2 linked regions of the Arabidopsis thaliana genome follow. The protein of the gene in region 2 purifies or fractionates together with the protein of the main gene of each other region. This does not show direct contact. Each region holds a gene or a part of one and is shown on either strand. Other genes may lie near its edges.

Region 1 (6,702 bases), on a different chromosome or scaffold from region 2:
ATTTGGACAAACACATCAGCTAACATCAATGGAAGCAGATGCAGAATCTAAAATAATGTGTTGAGCTTTACTAAAAAACCAAAGAATTCTCTCCCAAACCCATAATTGATAATTCAATTCACTACTATCAAAACATGTGAGCCTATAAGGGGGATGAGATCAACCAATACTTGATAATTCAATGCAAACACCAACCATATCAGTCATACGGTGAGCATAAAACTGACCAGAGGGGACGAGACTCGAGAGTGGAGGGAGACAGAGAAGCGTGCATCCGCCTTCGTAGAGAGAGTTTGGGGTTTTGTGTTTTCACTTTTCACATTAAATGGGTAAGTTTTGGGCTGTCTTTTATTTTCCACTTTTGGGCTTTAAGATTTAAGTTTCCACTATGGAAACCAATCAAAGGCTTCTACATGGGCTTTGTTGTTTACTAGCACAACATTGCACCTTTAACTTCAGACTTATCATGCACTGATGTGAGATATTTAAGCCGTTAACGTTGACAATAGTTGCTGGATTTCTTCCCACAATACATGTCTCATCAGTCATCACATCCTTTTCCATTACTGTGGAAGAAAATCCAATGATACCAGTCAAAATAAACGCCTACATCAACAGTCTAATACTTCCCATTCTACTGAAGTACTCAGGGTTTAAAGATTGATAGTGTATACATAAACCAGTCTATATACTATTAAAGATAGTATCTAATTTGGGTAAAATAATGATCCAAGGTTTGGATAGTGACTCTAATAGAAGGTTCTTTTTAGATTTTGGCTAAGATACTTGGTGCAACCCGAATAACAGTTTAAGATGCGTGTTGAATATAGCATACCCTTCTTTGAGACGCATGACACGGTCATCGGCTGAGAGGTTGTGTATTAAGATACAAATAAATTAGAAAAACACACACTTCTTTTTAAGATATTTTTTGGAAATGGAAACTCAAAAGTCAAATGTGTATTTTACTACAAAATTTCAAAAGTTGCAGAATTTGAAGACTTTTTACCAAAAGCTCTTCCCAAAACTCATACAATATGCGTTTTTTTACCAAGGTTTTTCATTATGATGAATCACTAGCAACAACAGGCTCTCTCTCTATCCTTAAAAAAGAGGTTCAAGAATCCCCTTTTTGAGTTCTAATCTCATTCCTCCTCAATCCAAGATTAAACTGGTCACTTTTACTCTTAAAACCAGATGGAGTCAGTTTGTTTCCAGTGCTCTATTCCTCCTCCTGCTCATATATCTGCATGTATGCTTCCGATAGTTCTACCATCTGGGGAAGTGTCTCTGCAACATGAAGATCCTGCATCTCGTACCTGCAATGGACATTATCCCCCAAATGAATTTATGTCTTTCTTATGCACAGATCTAGATCATGCATTTGTGAACATGAAACACAATAATAGTTAATGATTGAGAAAGCTTACCATAGTTCTTGTGACTTGCGCTGCACAAAGACTCTGAAGTATCCGTCCTCAGGCTTACCATCATGTACAATGTTAGCGATTAGATTATACTTTGAACACACATTCTCGCCTTCTGGTGCTCTAGGCAATGATGGTATGTAATCCCTCAGCTCCATGTCCTTCACTGGGAAGTTAACTGTGGCATAGGAAAAAATTGGCATTAGGGATCCTTATACAACATGAACGTCACAAAAATTCCAAATAGACTCACCCAAGGTAGGGTTCTTCTCTTTGAAGAAGTTATTCTTCTTGAACCGAACCATATGGAACATCAAGTAACGAGGAGATTTGATTACACGGTATCTCATTCTGGCCAGCTTAGGCCGAACCACCTCTGTCACAGTTTCTCCATCAAACTTCTTCAATAAATCAAATAGAGCAACCTGACCCAAACATCAAAGAAATTAGTTTCTGCTAACCTCACTTTGCAAACTAAACACTCTAAGACGCATATACGAGGTAGCAAGCCATAAAGGCTACAGGAGCTCCAAACAACCAAGGACTCAGAGAATTCTACACTTTCCCAAGTCATAAACTAGATTCGAAAAAGACAGTTTACTCCAGGACAGTAAATTTGCAATGGCACTATTTAAGAATCCCTTTATTGTATCTCAACCAAATGTGACATTATTATATTGAGAATTATAAGTTTTCTAGCACTTCACGTTATCTTATTGATCAAAATGTTCCCCTTACTGAAATGCATTTTTCAAATGGCACAGAGTAGCAAGACGTTCAAGATTTGAAATAGCCATATACCTGCGGAATAATGTTTTTCTCCATGACATCTTTGAAAAGAGGAGGCGGTGGCAAATCTAGACCGAGCATCAGAAAAGACATCCTGGAGATTTCTTTGTTTTCATTGCCTTGAAACTCTTTCACAACCTCCAACTCACCCTATAATGGTTAGAAGGTTACATGAAGATGCAGCTTTTTGTAAGCAATTATATCAAACTGCATTTAGGTTGACATGTCAAAGGACTGACACATACCTGGAAGCACTTGTGGATGATACTGCTGGCGTCCTTTGAAGTTCTAAGATCCATGTGCAAAGTGTTGAGGAGCCACGACATAAACTCTACTGGATCTGATTGTTGGCCAATCCTAAACCGTTTCTTGCTGGCTTTCATGACAGCTTGCAAGAATTCATGTGGACTCACCTGTTGATGCAAGGTGACTTAAATTAGCGAGGTCCTCAACAGGTGAGGGCATAACAAAAACTAAAAGTGAGAGGCATAAATTGAGTCAGACTTGTCCTTTAAAGTTTCGAGCATGCCAAATCTTGCGAGTTAGTTCCCCAAAACGGTGAACAAGAGGAGACTTGCAGTGCTGATAATTTTCAGGAATGAGGAAGAAATTCCTTAGAGGAGTAACTCTCATCAACGACTGGATTGTAACATTCACAAACTCTGTCTTTTGTATGTTGTTCAACCCCACCTACATATTTACAAGCTTAACCTTTAGGAGACATTAATTTCAAGATCAAGTGTAATCAAAGAGAAAGGATTACCATTCCTGGAAGATAGTCGGAGCCATCAAGAGCCCTAGACCACTGCCTATTCTTGTCAAGCTCGTTTACTTGTGCTCTACTAAACCTGTAAATGGATAACACCGAAGCCTTCATAAAAAGGAACTGTAAAATCAAAGAAAATTTGACAAGACATGAAAGAAGAGTAATATGTTCAAGCTATCAAGAATAAAAATATAAATAGATGGTAGATGATACAGAGAACTAGCAAGAAGAAACTGATTGAGATAATAGTCAAAGCAATTTTGTTGTTGTTAACTACGTGCAAAGGCTCACATGTTCACAAATCAATACACAAAATGCAGTAAGAACTATGAAGTAGTAGTCACAAGATCTAATATACCTTGGGTTTAAAACATGGCGAATGTCATCCAAAGAAGGGTCATTGATCTCGTAACTATCAGGAAGACAATAAACCTTCTCTGTCAGAAGATTGATGTAAACGTGGTGTCCTGCTTCCAAGCTATGTGTATAAGCATGAGACTTCTGGCTTCTTCCTTGGAAGTACTTCCCACAAACAAGACACGCATACACATTCAGATTTGACAAGGACACAGAGCAAAACCTCTCAAAATCAAAATCCAACACCTGAAATTCAACATACAACATGAGTTTAGATACTCAACACCAAAAACGATTATACAATGAAGACAGCAGAAACATAACCATTGATCAAAGATTACAATCAAGAAATTAATTACCTGACGATTAACGGTATCAAGATAAGGACAATCACGGCGAACTTCAACATGGCGTGAATGCTTTCCCTTACCCTTCGAGACATCATCATCTTCGTCGTCATCGACCTCTTCTTGAGCTTCTCCTTTCACTTTGTTACCATTTCCCTCCCCTTTCGCAACTCCATTACCACGAGCTTGCGATTTCTTCTGCTCGTTCTCCTCTTCCTCATCATCATCATCGTAAGTATTAGCCAACGGCAGAAGAGGATTGTTGAAACCTAGTGGTGGAGGTGGTGAATCAGACCGTTCCATCACTCTCTTCCTCTTCACTTCTCTCTCTTCCTCAGAAACACCATTCTTAACTTCTCTTTCACCTTTCATTCTCAAAATTTTCCTTATGCTACAGCTTGCTTCAAAAACCCTAGAAGTCTAGAACACAAAATCCCAGCGTTTCACAAAGATCCTCAACCAAAGAAGCAATGATTCTTCCAAACAAACGCCCTAGAATTCAAATCAGAAGAGATCTGATAGACCGTTGATTCTATCCATCCTTTTGCCAAATCCTAATAAACCTTTCAGGCGTGATCAATCTGAATAAGAGATCTCCAGCATCAACAACACCAAAGAAGATAATCACACACTGCAAACAAAACAAAAAAGCCACTGTGAGATAAGTAAACATGAGTAAAACTGAAAAGATACTTCCATCAGAAAAAGAATGAAACTTGGACAAACCAACCAGCTGAAATCAATGCAGAATCTAAGATAAAGTACACTCCTTTACAAAGAAAGGATGGATCCTAGCTCAGAACCATAATTCTCAATTTCATTACATAACAAAAAAAGAGTGAAATTTGGACAAACCCATCAGCTAACATCAATGAAAGCAGATAGAGAATCTAACATAAAGTGTTGTGCTTTACTAAAAAAACAAAGAATTCAATCCCAAACCCATAATTGATAATTCAATTCATTACTATCAAAACATGTGAGCCTATAAGGGGGATGAGATCAACCAATAATCGATATTAATCGGTCATACGGTGAGCATAAAACTGACCAGAGGGGACGAGACTCGAGAGTGGAGGGAGACAGAGAAGCGTGCATCCGCCTTCGTAGAGAGAGTTTGGGGTTTTGTGTTTTCGCTATTCACAAGCAGAGTGAGAGACCGTAAATTAAATGGGTAAGTTTTGGGCTGTCTTTTATTTTCCACATTTGGGCTTTAAGTTTTAAGTTTCCACTATGGAAACCAATCAAAGGCTTCTACATGGGCTTTGTTGTCATCAGCTTCTCTGCGGCTTTCATGCTTACTTGTTTACTAGCACAACATTGCATGCACCTATTGCAGAGATGCCTAAGGTTTCCTTGGTGGATAAGAATAGTGGATAGGACATAATAATTATTTTAACAGAAAAGAGCATTTACACTTTGGGGCTCTATGTACACAAACATAAACCCCATACAAGGGGCAAAAAAAAAAAACAGAATTAAGAAAGAAAAACAAAAGCTAATAAGGTAAAAGGCAAAGCCTATTTGGTTTTCTTTTTGAACCAATTTGGCTGTCCTCTCATTCCCTCTCTTCTCTTCTCTTCTCTTCCTTCCTTCAGTCTCGTGAGCCTAACTGTTTAAGCATTTTTATATTTGAATATCGGGCAAAAGAAGCATTACATACATATTGGTTTCAGACAGGAATGACATCAGCGTTTTGATTATCGTCGCAGGTTATGATTAAGCCATCTGCGTAGGTTGGGAAGAGGCAGTGCCACCACCGGCACCCACTGGAGACTGCTTCTGCCGGAGGAACTATCATCAGAACGTTGTCGTGCCTTCTTACCATCCCCATCACGCTCACTGTGCTTCCTTCTTTTATGTATCTGTTGCATCACACACAATCAAATATGATTTTAAATCAGTAACAAAGGGATTCTCTTTGACAGCAAAAGTGAAACCAATGAGCTTTCTTGTGTACTAAAAACGATCATTTGTACTAGAAACGGTGACTTTTGGGTCTCATTAGCTTTAGACTTAATTCAAACTTCTAAGCCCTTTAACTTCAGACTTATCATGCACTGATGTGAGATGTTTAAGCCGTTAACGTTGACAATAGTTGCTGGATTTCTTCCTACAATACATGTCTCATCACATCTTTTTCCATTACTGTGACTTTTAATGTGGAAGAATAACCAACGGTACCAGTCAAAGTAAACGCCTACATCAACAGTTTAATACTTCCCATTCTACTAAAGAAATCAGGGTTTAAAAGGTTGTAATTTGGGTAAAATAAGGATCCAAGGTTTGGATAGTGACTCTAATAACGTTATTTTTAGATTTTGGCTAAGATACTTCGTGCAACCCGAAGAACAGTTTAAGATGCGTGTTGAATATAACATACCCTTCTTTGAGACGCATAACACGGTCATCAGCTGAGAGGTTGCGATCTGACAGCCACTTTAAGAAGCTGGGAGATAAATCTTTGTTCTGCGTTGTTACATTAGCCACTGTCGCCGGTTTGACAAAAGGAGAAACTTTTGATCCATATCCTGCTTTTACTAGTGCTCGCAATCCAGATTGGAAATCCGAGATGTAAAAATCCGACACATATTTCTGCCAAAGAAATATAACCACAACAAGAATCATCAAACTTCACCATCTTTTCTTGTCATATAAGATCTGAAAACTTTGACCAAATCACTGAGACAAATGGTCCTTTTGCAAGAGGAGAAAAAGAAACTAACCTCTGCATGTCTAGATCCCCAAGAAAAGCATCGATGTTTTGGGTTTGCGGATTTCCCACCAAAACCTTTGTATTCATACAACTCCGTGGATACATAAACGCATCTTGGTGTTCTTTGGAACGAAGATTCCAAAGGAATGCTTCCACATGTCACAACCTACAAAAACATAACAAAAGTTTTAACATTTCCAGCAAATAAAAGACACACCAGTGACCACACTACCATATCTACATCAACATTGTTAATTCAGACAATATAAATGGTCTGTCCAACGCATTAAGCTAGCTGTT
Region 2 (3,742 bases):
GTGATCAATTTTTGTAATTCTACACACAAAGATAAACTTTTTAGAGAAAGACATGATGAAGGTAGGAAACATATATTTATATATTTATGTAAAATACAGTATATAATCCAACAAGAAATAGGAGAAAGGAAGCTATTTAATGGGTTGGAGAAGGTTGCAATTGCAGAGGAATAGCAACAGAAACGGTAAGAGACTGTCTTTGTGCCTGTCTCTACCTTCAGACATGCTCACCATGTTTTTTTCAGGTACATTACATTGTTGTAGAATTACCTTATGCAATTTCCTATTTGGAACCTTGCCAAAAGCTAGAGTTTACTTCTAAGTACCTCTGCTGATTTCCTACAGTTTCATGTGTTCAGAAAACTAAACACAATGTAATGTTTCAGACAATGATCTTGTCTTGTGGTTGAATCAGTTTTTTTTTTTTTTTTTTTTTTTTTTTTTTTTCTGTAGAAACTTTTTTACGTTTTAGCTACTACTCACTTGTACATTTTTTATATCGTTGGTGGATCTTATATTTTTTAAATGTTGTCCATCTTGTCCGTTAATTAGGTGCAGTATGATTTAAAGTGACGGTATAGCGTTATGGATCTTATTACTTCTGCAGAGATGCTAAAATTGATGAACAATATGCTTTTAGAATAAGTGGTAATAGCTTAGTGATTTAGACATATTACCCTGAATTAAGGGATGGATATGGGTATTGGAATCTTATTCAACTAATAAGGTAATGATGTGAAAGTTTAGCTCTGAGTTTTTATGCAGCTGGAAGCATCTCATTGGTGTTGGAACTAAGCTTTTCATTGCAAGTTGCAGATATATTTAGCTTACACAATGGCAAAAAAACAAAATTAATGTAATTAAAAACAAAATTTTCTCTTTAAGAATTGCTATACAATTTACAACTCCTCTCTTCTGACAGTTTTCTCTTCTTATAGTGCCTTTCAAGAACTCGTTTGGCCTCAGAACTGGGAAAGTTAGCAAGCTTATAGTAATGTGGTGCAACATCTACAAGCCATTCACCGCGAATATGTGTGACGGTTCGGATGAAATTTCGGCTAGTGAAAACGTATTCGTTGTAAACTACCCACTCTGGTTTGTGATCCAAGCAATTGGAAGGATGCAAGTGCACCACTTGGTCATCCTTATCTCTGAAAGTCAAGTAGTGGCCAGTGCGTTCTAGGTGAGCCACTTGCATGAAATAACCTGCAAGCAAGGCCTTTCTTATGTTGACGTAGTAGTCCCTGCTGTTGAAATCAGGGCTACACAACTTAATCTGAAACCTCAACATGATCCGGACCAACTGCTCTCTAACACTAACTGCAGACTTCATTGCTCTGTAGTTGATGAACTTTGTACAGCACCAATTTGGGTCTTGGTTGTTTTGCAAGAAAGCATGGAACAAATTCAAAAGTGTGAGATGATCTCCATCAATGTGTGCAAAGCTAGATTTGGCTTCATCTGCTGCTTTTTGAGCTTCTCCTCTTGGCCTGATGAAACAATTTGGTACTGATAACATCGCAGAAATCGAAAGAATCTCGTTTGAGCAGTTGAATTGAGGACTGACTATGAGCATCTTTGCCATCTGTGGGTCTAAAGGAAACTCACTCATCATCTCACCTGTCTTTGTCAAGTTACAGTCATCATCAAGTGCTCCCAAATGATACAAATCGTCCAAGGCCCGAGCGAGGGTATCAGGAGCAGGAGAATCTATAAGATCGAAGCGTACCAAGTTTTTCACACTAAGTCCTTTCAAGGTCAGAACTGTGTTTGCAAGGTTTGTCATTGTCATTTGCAAGGAGTAATATAATGTTTGATGGTCAAAAATTATATTACTCCATGAATTTATGAACCTTCTGACAGAAAGAGAGCTTTTCTAAAGGGTATTTATGTCTTTTTACAGGCTTGCTTCGAGTGGATAATGTGAGAAAAGAGCAAAACACAAAAATGAAAAAACCTTCTTCTCTTGTAACTCGCACAACCTTATCGAGTGAAAGAAGATTGGGTCAGTAGTGAAAAATGGCGTCGATTGCAGCTTCTTCTACCTTTCACTCGTTTTGCAGAACCAAAAGCCCTAATCTTTCTTCGACCCACCTTCTTCCTTTGTCGAAAAACCTCAACTTTCGGACCAGAGCTATCGGAAATAGCCGCAATTGCAGTTTTGCTGGGTTTATAAAACAAAATCGCCTTGGATTGAGGAAGCTTTCGTCTATTGGAGAAGGAGGAGAAGGTGTCGCTGTCGCAGAGGAGCAACCGCAAGAGACTGTCTCTGTTCCTGTCTCTCCTTCAGACATGCTCACCATGTTTTTCCAGGTACATCACTCTCTGTCCAGTGAATTTGTGTGATTATCATCCTCATTCTCCACTTATGGCTTTTTAATAGATATAGTAGGATTGATTCATGGTTGTATTATAAGGTCTTAGAAATGAGGTTTGCAAAATTGTATTGATACTGTTTTGAAGATACTATGAGCATTACTCTGTTGCAATTTCATGTGGCCTCAAATTGAGTCTGAACATTGTTGGATTTTTTGCTTGATTATGAAGGCTGATGGAACTTTGAACGAAGCAGCTATTCCTAATGTGACAAGGGCCTTACAGGTAATACTTTGCTTTGTAATCTCTCCTTGAACTAGCAAATCTGTGTGGAGCTTGACGAGAATCTTTGTGAATGCATCTGGTTCTTGGATTATATAACCCTTTTGGTTACTTGTTTCAATTCAATTTAATCTTTGTAGTTGTGTTAAACTTGGAATTTGGGTGTTCACTTTACTCTTTCCACGCTCTAAATCTTCCTTAGTACCTATAGCTTACAAAAACAGTGAATATAAAGGTTCCAATTGATACTTGTTTTGTTCTTTCAGGATATTGATGGAGTTTCCAATTTAAAGGTTCAGGTTTCTGAAGGTGTTGCCGTCGTTGAGGTATGTTTTACATCCAACATTGCCTTTACATGTCTCTTCACACCCCTACACAGTACACATATATGTTTAGAGGATATAAATAGATAAGGACAGATGTTGAATATGTTATTAGAGATATAATGGCTGGCACACCCTTAGAAGGACTGGACTGGTCAAATATGTCATTTTGTTGTACATTTTGGTGGTTAACCAGGGGATTAGTCTTTGGGGCCGTATAACAAAAGCCTCGAGCCTGACCTTGAATAGTTAAGGCCTTTATATGAACGGTTCTGTTACTGCTCGTAGCAACATCTCTATGTTTGATTGTACAATTGAATCTGGCTTATGTTGTGATCAATGTATGTGAAGCTTTTGAAGCAAACAACGGTTCAAGCAACAGGAGTGGCGTCAAACTTGGTGGAGACTATACAAGGAGCTGGATTTAAGTTACAGACTTTGAATCTGAGTTTTGAAGATGACGATGAGGTTCTTGTCTAGTGAAATCATCCTTTTCCTCCATTTTGTGATTAAAGAAACTCATAATGTTCAATTCTAGGGATAATTTCTTTCATTTGTTCCTCTAAAGAAAACAAATGTGGTAACTTTTTTTAGAAAGTGGGAATTAATGTTTTCTTTGTTGAAATAAAAGAGAAATGGAAAATATCTATATTGATTAGTGGGTCATATACATATGGGTTCCCACAAAGCATGGAGGTTGGCATTTTTATAGACTTTTAGGTTCATTGCTTTGTACAATGCATTTAGTTTTGTGTGTGGATATGATTGTCATTTGTCACTATGTATATGTATGCATGTACGATGTTGACATTGTGGAGTAC

The links. The genes of interacting proteins can lie anywhere in the genome.
Region 1: the proteins of AT5G14900 (region 2) and AT4G22285 fractionate together in Arabidopsis thaliana (co-fractionation; one large-scale study listed by BioGRID). This does not show direct contact.

What each region holds. Positions count from the first base shown.
Region 1 is NC_003075.7:11,777,841-11,784,542, forward strand, and holds AT4G22285 (Ubiquitin C-terminal hydrolases superfamily protein), read right to left. Parts: upstream 4,856-6,702; 5' UTR 4,738-4,855; intron 4,318-4,737; 5' UTR 4,059-4,317; coding exon 3,699-4,058; intron 3,586-3,698; coding exon 3,341-3,585; intron 3,065-3,340; coding exon 2,980-3,064; intron 2,907-2,979; coding exon 2,721-2,906; intron 2,630-2,720; coding exon 2,462-2,629; intron 2,367-2,461; coding exon 2,229-2,366; intron 1,853-2,228; coding exon 1,681-1,852; intron 1,606-1,680; coding exon 1,431-1,605; intron 1,320-1,430; coding exon 1,223-1,319; 3' UTR 909-1,222; downstream 1-908. Other genes in the region: AT4G22290 (Ubiquitin-specific protease family C19-related protein), read right to left, coding at 5,359-5,551, 6,070-6,281, 6,413-6,568.
Region 2 is NC_003076.8:4,821,796-4,825,537, forward strand, and holds AT5G14900 (helicase associated (HA2) domain-containing protein), read right to left. Parts: upstream 1,787-3,742; coding exon 881-1,786; downstream 1-880. Other genes in the region: AT5G14910 (Heavy metal transport/detoxification superfamily protein), read left to right, coding at 2,020-2,313, 2,548-2,601, 2,865-2,924, 3,273-3,401.